Linked DNA regions of Arabidopsis thaliana. The protein of the gene in region 2 interacts with the protein of the main gene of each other region in a pairwise test. Each region holds a gene or a part of one and is shown on either strand. Other genes may lie near its edges.

Evidence for each region.
Region 1: the proteins of CIPK22 (region 2) and CRF10 interact in a two-hybrid assay, tested with the Arabidopsis thaliana proteins (one large-scale study listed by BioGRID).

Annotation. Positions count from the first base shown.
Region 1 is NC_003070.9:25,724,714-25,729,535, forward strand, and holds CRF10 (Integrase-type DNA-binding superfamily protein), read right to left. Parts: upstream 2,989-4,822; 5' UTR 2,914-2,988; intron 2,674-2,913; exon of another isoform or gene 2,589-2,673; 5' UTR 2,335-2,588; intron 2,243-2,334; 5' UTR 2,072-2,242; coding exon 1,097-2,071; 3' UTR 742-1,096; downstream 1-741.
Region 2 is NC_003071.7:16,113,304-16,117,299, forward strand, and holds CIPK22 (CBL-interacting Serine/Threonine-kinase), read right to left. Parts: upstream 1,902-3,996; coding exon 606-1,901; downstream 1-605.

The DNA.
Region 1 (4,822 bases), on a different chromosome or scaffold from region 2:
ATACTCAAGATAGAATCACTTGGATTCATTATGGTGTGAATATGAACATTCTTATAATATAGTCTTTTTAGAGCTTATCACAAGATCCTCTAACTTTCATGTGCATGTCCACCTCTCGTTCTTAATAGTAAAGTATCACGTGCTTGAGACATGCTTACCCGTACGTACTGAAAAAAAAAGATGCTACAAAAACATGTGCAACCACAAAGTAGTGGGAGAGTGTTACTATATAGTACTATACACTAATACACTCCTTTGACTTTTCCTCAATTCTCAATCACCAAGACACCAACCTTTCTTTATTATATAACATTCAATTAAATACCAAAATGCGATACAGCTGTTACATATATTTGGACTTAACAATAAGTGTAAACCTGACAAAACCAAACCCCTGACTTGTTGCCACTTCCGTGCAATCTCTTCTTTAATTCCCACTCTCTTTCACTACTATTCAACCTTTCTCAAAACACACAATAACGTAATTAAAAAACGCTTAATGAAAACCATTAAAAACGTATAACCATAAATACAACTATAATGGTGTTTTGTGATGGCGCGGCGAATCAGCAGAGAAACAGTGACCCATACTAAATTCATGCATTTGTCATTTTCCATTAGATTCTTAGAATCGCAACACGTCAGAATCTAACGCCCAACTGGTAGGGCTTAATAATTTTGAAGCAGACAACAAATTAAGTCGATAAGAACAATGAAAAGGAATTCACATCAAAATTATATAAACTAAAAAGCTTCTTCCATTAATATTTTGTTTTTCACATTAACGAAAGATGAAAGTGGAGAATGATGTAATAAAACTGACAGTGGAATTCTCATCAAAACTCTTTCACTTTGGACGGCTCTTAAAAGCACAATGAAAAACCCAAAGTAAAAGAGAAGAGAAACCAGAATCAGCAAAACATCAATCAAACATAAACTAAAACTTCATTAAAACTCGATTCCTAATTGCAAAACCCGGCTTTATGTCTTAAGATCTTACTACAATCCGGAACACACACTTTTGTATGTCTTAAATTACTAAAGCATAAACGAAAAAACAAAACACTCTTCTCACTTAACATTACTAAGCAAGATCCTATGAAGCTGCAAAACTTTTTAATGGGCAAGAGATGTTGATAGGAGCAAGTTGATCAAGGAAACCGAAACTAGAGTCAGCTAGCTGAAGATCTTCAACATCCGCAAAGTCGAAATCTGGTAACGCACTTGGACCGTTATCTTCGAATCCTTGAATGTCATCAAGCAAGCCGAAATCATCAAACTGATCATCCGCGAGGAAACAATCGAAGTCTAGGTCTTGTTGCTCCTCTGCCAAGAAACCAAAATCAGGGATCTGTAGATTAGTAAAGTCGAAATCGAACAACGTTTCCTTGTTTCCACCAGCAGGAACATTTGGAGTTGGAGCAGTTGGAGCAACGGTCGAGACGTCATCAGGGTTGTTGACACAAGTGAGAGCTGATGCAGAAGTGTCATCTTGCTCAACAGGAACAACAGGTGAAGAACGAGAGCATTGGCTAGTCTCAGATGAAGAAACATCACGTTTAGTAGTGGACACATTTCCAGCAACAATAGCATCAAACTCAAGCTTCTTAGCATCATAAGCTTTAGCAGCTTCTTCAAGAGTATCAAAAGTACCCAACCAAGTCCTAGTTTTCTTAATAGGATCTCTAATCTCAGCAGCCCATTTCCCCCATTTCCTTTGCCTAACACCAACAGGCTTCTTCCTAGGAACAGCAGGAGAAGCTGACACAGCTATCTTGCCATCAGTTTTAGTACTGTCCTGAGAAGAACTCTCAGAAGGCTGTTCAGAAACTTCCATAGAAGGAAAGTTAATCTCACGAACGATACGTTTCATTTTCCTTGGCTTAGGAACCTTAAGCTCTTCCTCATCACTAGAGGAATCATCAGTAGCATAAGGATCATTCACAATAATACGGACTTTCCTCAAAGGTTGGGTTTCTTGAGGAAGGGACGATAGAGTGTTTCTCTTAGCTCTCTTCTTAATCTCGCTACTAACACCACTCAAAGACTGTTCCTTTCTAATCGCAACCATTGTTAAACCCACTCCTCAAAAATACCCAGAAAACAGAAAGAACAAAAAATCACTCTAAAAGGTCAAAACTTTTTTGGTATCAAAACTCAAAACTCTCAGCGAACTATGAAAAAAGAAAACTTTTGCTGCTTTATGTGAAAACCCCCAAAGACTTCAACACTAGAACAAGTCCTGTGACAAAAATCAAACAACAAACTCTCAGATCGGAGAAGGTACATAAATGTAAAGAGAGAAGAGAGAAAGATGAAGGATAAAGATAATACCTTTTGGGTCTTAAGCGCATGGAAAGAGAAGGAGTCTCCAGAACAAGCCTCTGCTTATTACAGCAGAAGTGAAGAGCGTTGAGAAGACAAGATTTCAAAGACGACGATGATGGGGAAGATGATGATGAAATCGGAGAAGAGATATGAATCAAAGACAAAATCACAGTCGATTCAAACCCAGCCGACATAAATCAAACCCTTTTTTCTTGTTGATTATCAGATCGAAACCCAAAAAACCGAACCTTTCACTGTTCCTGTTCTTGGAAAAGACAAAACAATAAGTGAGAAACGAAACCAAATAAAACCCAAACAGCTAAAACCCAGAACCCTTAAGAGACAGAGAAGAAGATAGATAGATGGGTAAGAAATCTGGGGATGAGATTATTTTTGCTATGAGTATATAAAAAAAAACGAAGGATCCGTGACAATTTTCACAGAGAAAAAACAGTAAACAAGTGTTGAAATAAATTATATTTATGAAAAAGAAAAGCTTTGGTTTTTACAAAATAAGACGCAAATCTCTAGAAGAGAACATAAACAATAAACAAATCACAAGATGAAGAAGAAGAAGAAAATGACCTTGTTGCTGTTGTTTCTTCTGATTTTTTTCTCTCTCTCTTTTCCTTTCACACTTTTTTTTTTCTTCTTGTGAATGAAATAATAAAGCTTTCACGCTCTTTATATTCTGATTTTAACAAGTACTGATTTATTTCCCTTTGTTCAATGACGGTCAAAAGTAACCATTCAAAGAAAAAAAAGACCGACTAAGAAGGGAAATAAAATATACAGAATATAATCATGAACTTTGTAACAGCCAATTAGAAACTGTAAATGGTGAAAATTAGGAATAAAATATAACCAATTTAGGAAGTCATTCCTAATTTATAGCAAAAATCACATTTACTGACCCAAGAAAAAATATATTTAATTGCCTATTAAATGTATTGAATTAAATAAATCTTCCGTTTTTTATAGAGTTAACAAAAATAACAGTATTTGACTGTAGTGTGGCTCTTTTGACTTGAATTTTTTTTTGCGTTACATTTTTAATTTGGTAGTATTAGAAAATTAAAAAAAAAAAAAAAAGAGGAAGATTTAGTATAAAAACATTTCCATTTGAGGAGACATATAATAAATATTAGCTGGCAATAAAGAAAGAAGTAGGGACAAAATATACATTAATGGCGCATGACTCTCTCTTACTCATGCATCTATCATGGCCCGCCTAAGAATCCTAACGCGTGTACCTTACTCTCTTCTTTGCCTTCACAATTATTTATAAACAAATTTTACATGAGTATTAATCTCTGTTTTTTTTTTTAGTACGAATTTTAATTTTATAAAATTTCTATATTTATTTAAAAAACTTTAATTGGAGAATTATTTTTTAATATGTGTGATCTTAATTGGGTAAATATCTTTTACATATAACCTTATTTGGATAGATATCTAGAAATCTTTCAATTTTGGTAAAGAATCTTAACTATATTTGTAAATAATATCTCAGCAAAATTCATAAGAAAATCTTTTAAAATCTAGGTAGAAAAAAAATTCTAGTTTTTCTTAGATTTTAATATTAAAAAAATAAAAAATTAGAAAGAATACCATATTTAGTTTTAGAGTTTTAAATAAAATTGAGCTAACTAAAAGTTGTTGTAATCTAAGCATAAATCTCACATCTTTAGATGTTTACTGCTGAAATTGCAAGAGTTCTCGCTAAACAAAAAAAAAATCTAAACAAGAGTACTCTTCAACAAGGATGTACAACTGTTAGTATGTTCCCCTTTAGTGGCCGAAGCGTTAACAACTCTCAATGCTATAGAAATTGCAATAGAATTGGAATTCGCAAATGGTTGTTAAAACTATCAACTGGAAGATTTTCTCAAAAGAATTATCTTTTTTTTTTAAGTTCATTTCTTGTTCTTTTATTTTCAACTCTAGATCTCTTAATCATGAAGCAGACTCTTTGTCAAAGTATACCCTCTTGTTATCATCTATTGAACCCTAGTTTAGTAATGATATGTTATCTTTGTTCAAAAAAATGGTTTAAATTTTATTATAATTTTAAAAATTGTAATCTTGGTAGATTTAATTACTGACTTTGAATAGTTTTATTGTACCGAAAACGGACAAGACAACTCAAATTTAGATTCTCGTTTTTTATGCTTGTTTAAATTAGAAATTTTTTAGTGATAAACTGATAATTTTGACTAATTAGAGATAATTTGTCCATTTTGTTTCCAAACAAAATTTAATTTGTGTTTCAAATCAAATTTAGTGTTATCAAAAATAACGCATGATGTGCATCTTGACCTTCACTCACTCTATTTTCAAATGTTGAGACTTATTAATCTTTAAACAAAGTAGTGAAGTGGTCGTGGAATAAATTTATCAAAGTCAAAAATGATTAATCAACAAGGTGTCAATTTAAGGAACAACATTATACATATCAATTGGAGGTGGAACGAGAGTGCTATTTTTTATATAG
Region 2 (3,996 bases):
AACAAATAAAACATTGATGCTTTGGCTAGAATTTTGTGATCTATCTTATAGACTTGTACGGTTATATATACCAATCATGTTTTAACGGAATTGCCAAGTGGTAATCAGCAGTGACAACTATTCGTTAATCTGTAACATTCATATATATGTTTTTAATACAAACTCAAATAAACATTCATACATAAAAGATCCTGAAATACTTCGTACGATTGCCAAACAAAATCAACAACGATAAATATTACAAACGGTGTAGCATGTCCCTTAGCGCAAAATAAGGCCCAAGTTTGCAAACACACACGGTCACACATAAAAGGCTACAAAGTTCAAATCAGAGTTTTATTCAAATTCTCTCCGATGAATAAAGCAAATAATTTTTGTGTTTAAATTATACTCCGAAAATAAATAAACAAAAATAATTGAATCCCGGTTTGTTTTTTTCTTTCTTCTTGTCATTTTTATATACAAAGAGGCGGATCGTCCCATTACTCTCCCTGCTCCAATGTAAACCGAACCGGTTAACCACAATGCGTCTCGATCCCGAGTGTAGTACGTTGAAAATTCTAAAAGTAAAACGCACGGATTGTTGGTTTAGTGTTGAAACCGTTTTACGGTTTGTCAGGAACTTTATAAACCGGTTGGTTAATCAAACGACGTAACTTTTGTCTAAGAGCATCGGCCCAAACCAAGCCCACGTCTCTTTGCTTGTTCTTCATCTCCACCATCACTAGTTCATTTGTTAGCCGGCGAACTTTAACGACGACATTAGCTACTCCATGTGGACCTTCAAGCTTTATCGCTCTCTCCTTCTTCTTCGCGATTCTCAAATTTAACTGCTTCGCAACTTCCTCGACCTTCCTCATAATAACGGCCGTACTCTCATCGGATACAAACTGGTCGCAATGATCCGGCGTCACGAAATTTCCAAACAAACCGGAGAGATTCGAGCTCGACGCCGAAGAAATCAAATCGAACGCGTTTAGAATTTTACCGTTTTCTTCCAGATCGTAATCATCGGCTTGGATTCCGATGATTTCGCTTGGATCTACTCCATGATTGAACCACGGATCCTTTAGAATCTCCTCCACGGTGATTCGCAGTTCCGGATTTGGCTCCAAGAGACGGCGGAGGAGTTTCCGCAGATCTGAAGATGTCCAATCCGGTAACTTGTATTGAGCCTTGTGGATTTTCCGGTAGAGTCCCATGATGTTTGGATCACGAAACGGCAAGTAGCCTGCGTTGAGAAGAAACAAAACGACGCCGCATGACCAAATATCAGCTTTAGAACCGTCGTAGCCTTTCTTCAAAAGAAGCTCCGGTGCTACGTAAGCCGGAGTTCCACAGAGCGTATGTAGCATTCCGTCGGGGTGGATCTGCTCCTTCATCGCACTGAGACCGAAGTCTGAAACCTTCAGATCTCGATTCTCGTCGAGGAGGAGATTCTCCGGCTTCAAATCACGGTGGAAAACTCCTCTTGCGTGGCAGTATCTCACGGCGGAGATCAATTGCCGGAAATATTTCCGGCTAAGACTCTCTGTGAAACGGTTGCTGGTGACTCTTGAGAAGAGCTCACCACCTTTGGCTAGCTCCATGACGAAGTAGATCTTCGTCTTTGTGGCGAGGACTTCGGAGAGGAGCACGATATGAGGATGACGGAGGCGGCGCATGACAGATATTTCTCTCTTAACGTGCGCCGTTAAACCGTCTTTCAAACGTTTTTTTTGTACGACTTTGATCGCAACGCTTTCGCCGCCGTTTTGAAGATCCTCCGCTTGGTAGACTTTGGCAAACGCGCCGCTACCGAGGAGCTTACCGAGATCGTACTTACCGAACAAAGCCGACTTATTATCATCTCCGGTGACGTTAACAATGATTGATTCGGAAGAATTAGAGTCTTCGGCCATTAACAAACAAACAAAAAAAACAGAGCAAAAAAACAGAGTAAAGAGAAACAGTCTAGGAATTGTAAAAGACATGCGCGCGGTGCCTCTTCTTATTGAAATTCCTCAACTTGCCACGTAAGTAAGCTATTATTTTAAACAAAGATTTTAAAATAGTTTGACTTTATTATAAAATGCATTAAACAAATAAATGAAAGAAACAATCTTCACAAAAGACAATTTCAAAATGCGATAACATTTTCGATTTTTACTAATTTGAATTAGTTGCGATATATCAACCAGGTTAGAGATAGAGTCATTTTCTCCTGAAATAATTTACGATTCAAGGAATTTTCATGATTCTTTCCCCAATGTGTGGTTCATGTTGTTGTTACCAAACATCTGCCTTGTCAGGTCAACCAAAACCTTCTAATTCCAGGTGGGATTTAAAGTCTTAATTTATTTGTTTTTGTAGGAGCTGGGAAAACTCGACATATTTTTTTTTTTTAAACGTTCATCGTTGACAAAAATAAAAACTTTATCAAAAATAAAAAGAACGTCTATATAAAAATATTTGAATAATGTGAAAGAAAAAAACAACGTGGATTGACGTTACTTTGTATAGAATGCTAAGCAGTATACATGACGATGTTTTAAGCTTCTTTACCGGTTAAGATGGTACTTTAGTTCTGAGGATATGATTTGGTTCTTAAAACATAAGAATATATATTCATCAGGTAGAAGTGTACAACCAAATCAAGACAAGTGAACCGGACCAAATTTTATGTGAACTATATCTCGCAACATTGCATGTGCATGTAAAGATGTTTAGACACGAATGTTATATCGTGGGTACAAATCAACCATCCTTAATTCTGATGAAATTGTTGGTCTTTAACCGCATCCAACCGTAGCAACCCAATCAAACCAAGAACATTATCCAGTCAATAAATAACCTTTAAATTTGAGTGACAAAATAATAACATTTAAATTTGAATGTTGTTTGAAATTCAATGCCACATATAATAATTACTTTTTAATAGCTGGAAATTTTGTTATCTAAGGATTAATGATGGGCAAATTAAGTTTTTCTTATAATTAATTTGAAGTTGGATTCGTGGATCCAAGTCATTCGTGTGTGGATTAAAATCATACTAGTACCCCTTTTGTTGTTGAAAAAGCCAAAAAATTAATCCTTACACGTGAACTTGTTCAAAACATTATCATAAACCTGTAAATTTTTGACCAAAAACAAGAAACCTCTAAAAAAAGAATTAGGAAATATGCAAAAGCAAAAACTCGACAAAGTAAAACGAATAAAGAAAACAACTCTTGCTCATTCATTCATGTGTTCCAATATGTAGGTGTTAGCTTTCGTAACGGTATTTACTATCTATTTGCCTTTTAGTTTATTGACTTTATCTGAATGAAAATTAACACCTAACAGTCGGCAGTAATACCCAACCAAACTTCAAAAGTTATCTCGATTTTATCGTACGGTCACACAGTCATTTAGACTATGACATCCGGGCGTCATTGTGGAGTCATACCCAACCGGAAAAACCAACCATCGAATCATCACATCGAATATAATGCCCAACCGCCAAGTCAACTTATTTATGTGCTATATCGATCCATTTAAAAACATCAATTCTTTTGAAAAACAAATACATCACCATTGCTTTATTATTGAATATTGATCTTCTCATTGTTATCGTCATCAAGAATAAAGACATCTACTTCAAAGAGACACCGTCTTTACCACCGTGATGGTGTACGTCAGCCATCGACATCGTCCGTACACCCACCCTCACTCTTAATTTAAGACGTTTCTTCTTTCTCACGCATCGTCATATATTGTGTGATTTCTTTAAAAATGTTATTAAAAAAACTCTACGAAGCAAAGTTTGTAAAACCAACCGTCAGAAGATTTCTACGACATTTTGTCTTTGTTTACGAAAAGAATTTAACAAAAGCATAAAAAAAAAAATTGATGGTTTTATGATTAGACAAATTTTTTGATCTAACTCAAAAAAAAAAAAAAAGTCACATATTGAGGCATTGCTTTTGCTATTTTCTCAAAGTTTTAATTAGGACATTACATTACATCTTTTTTTTT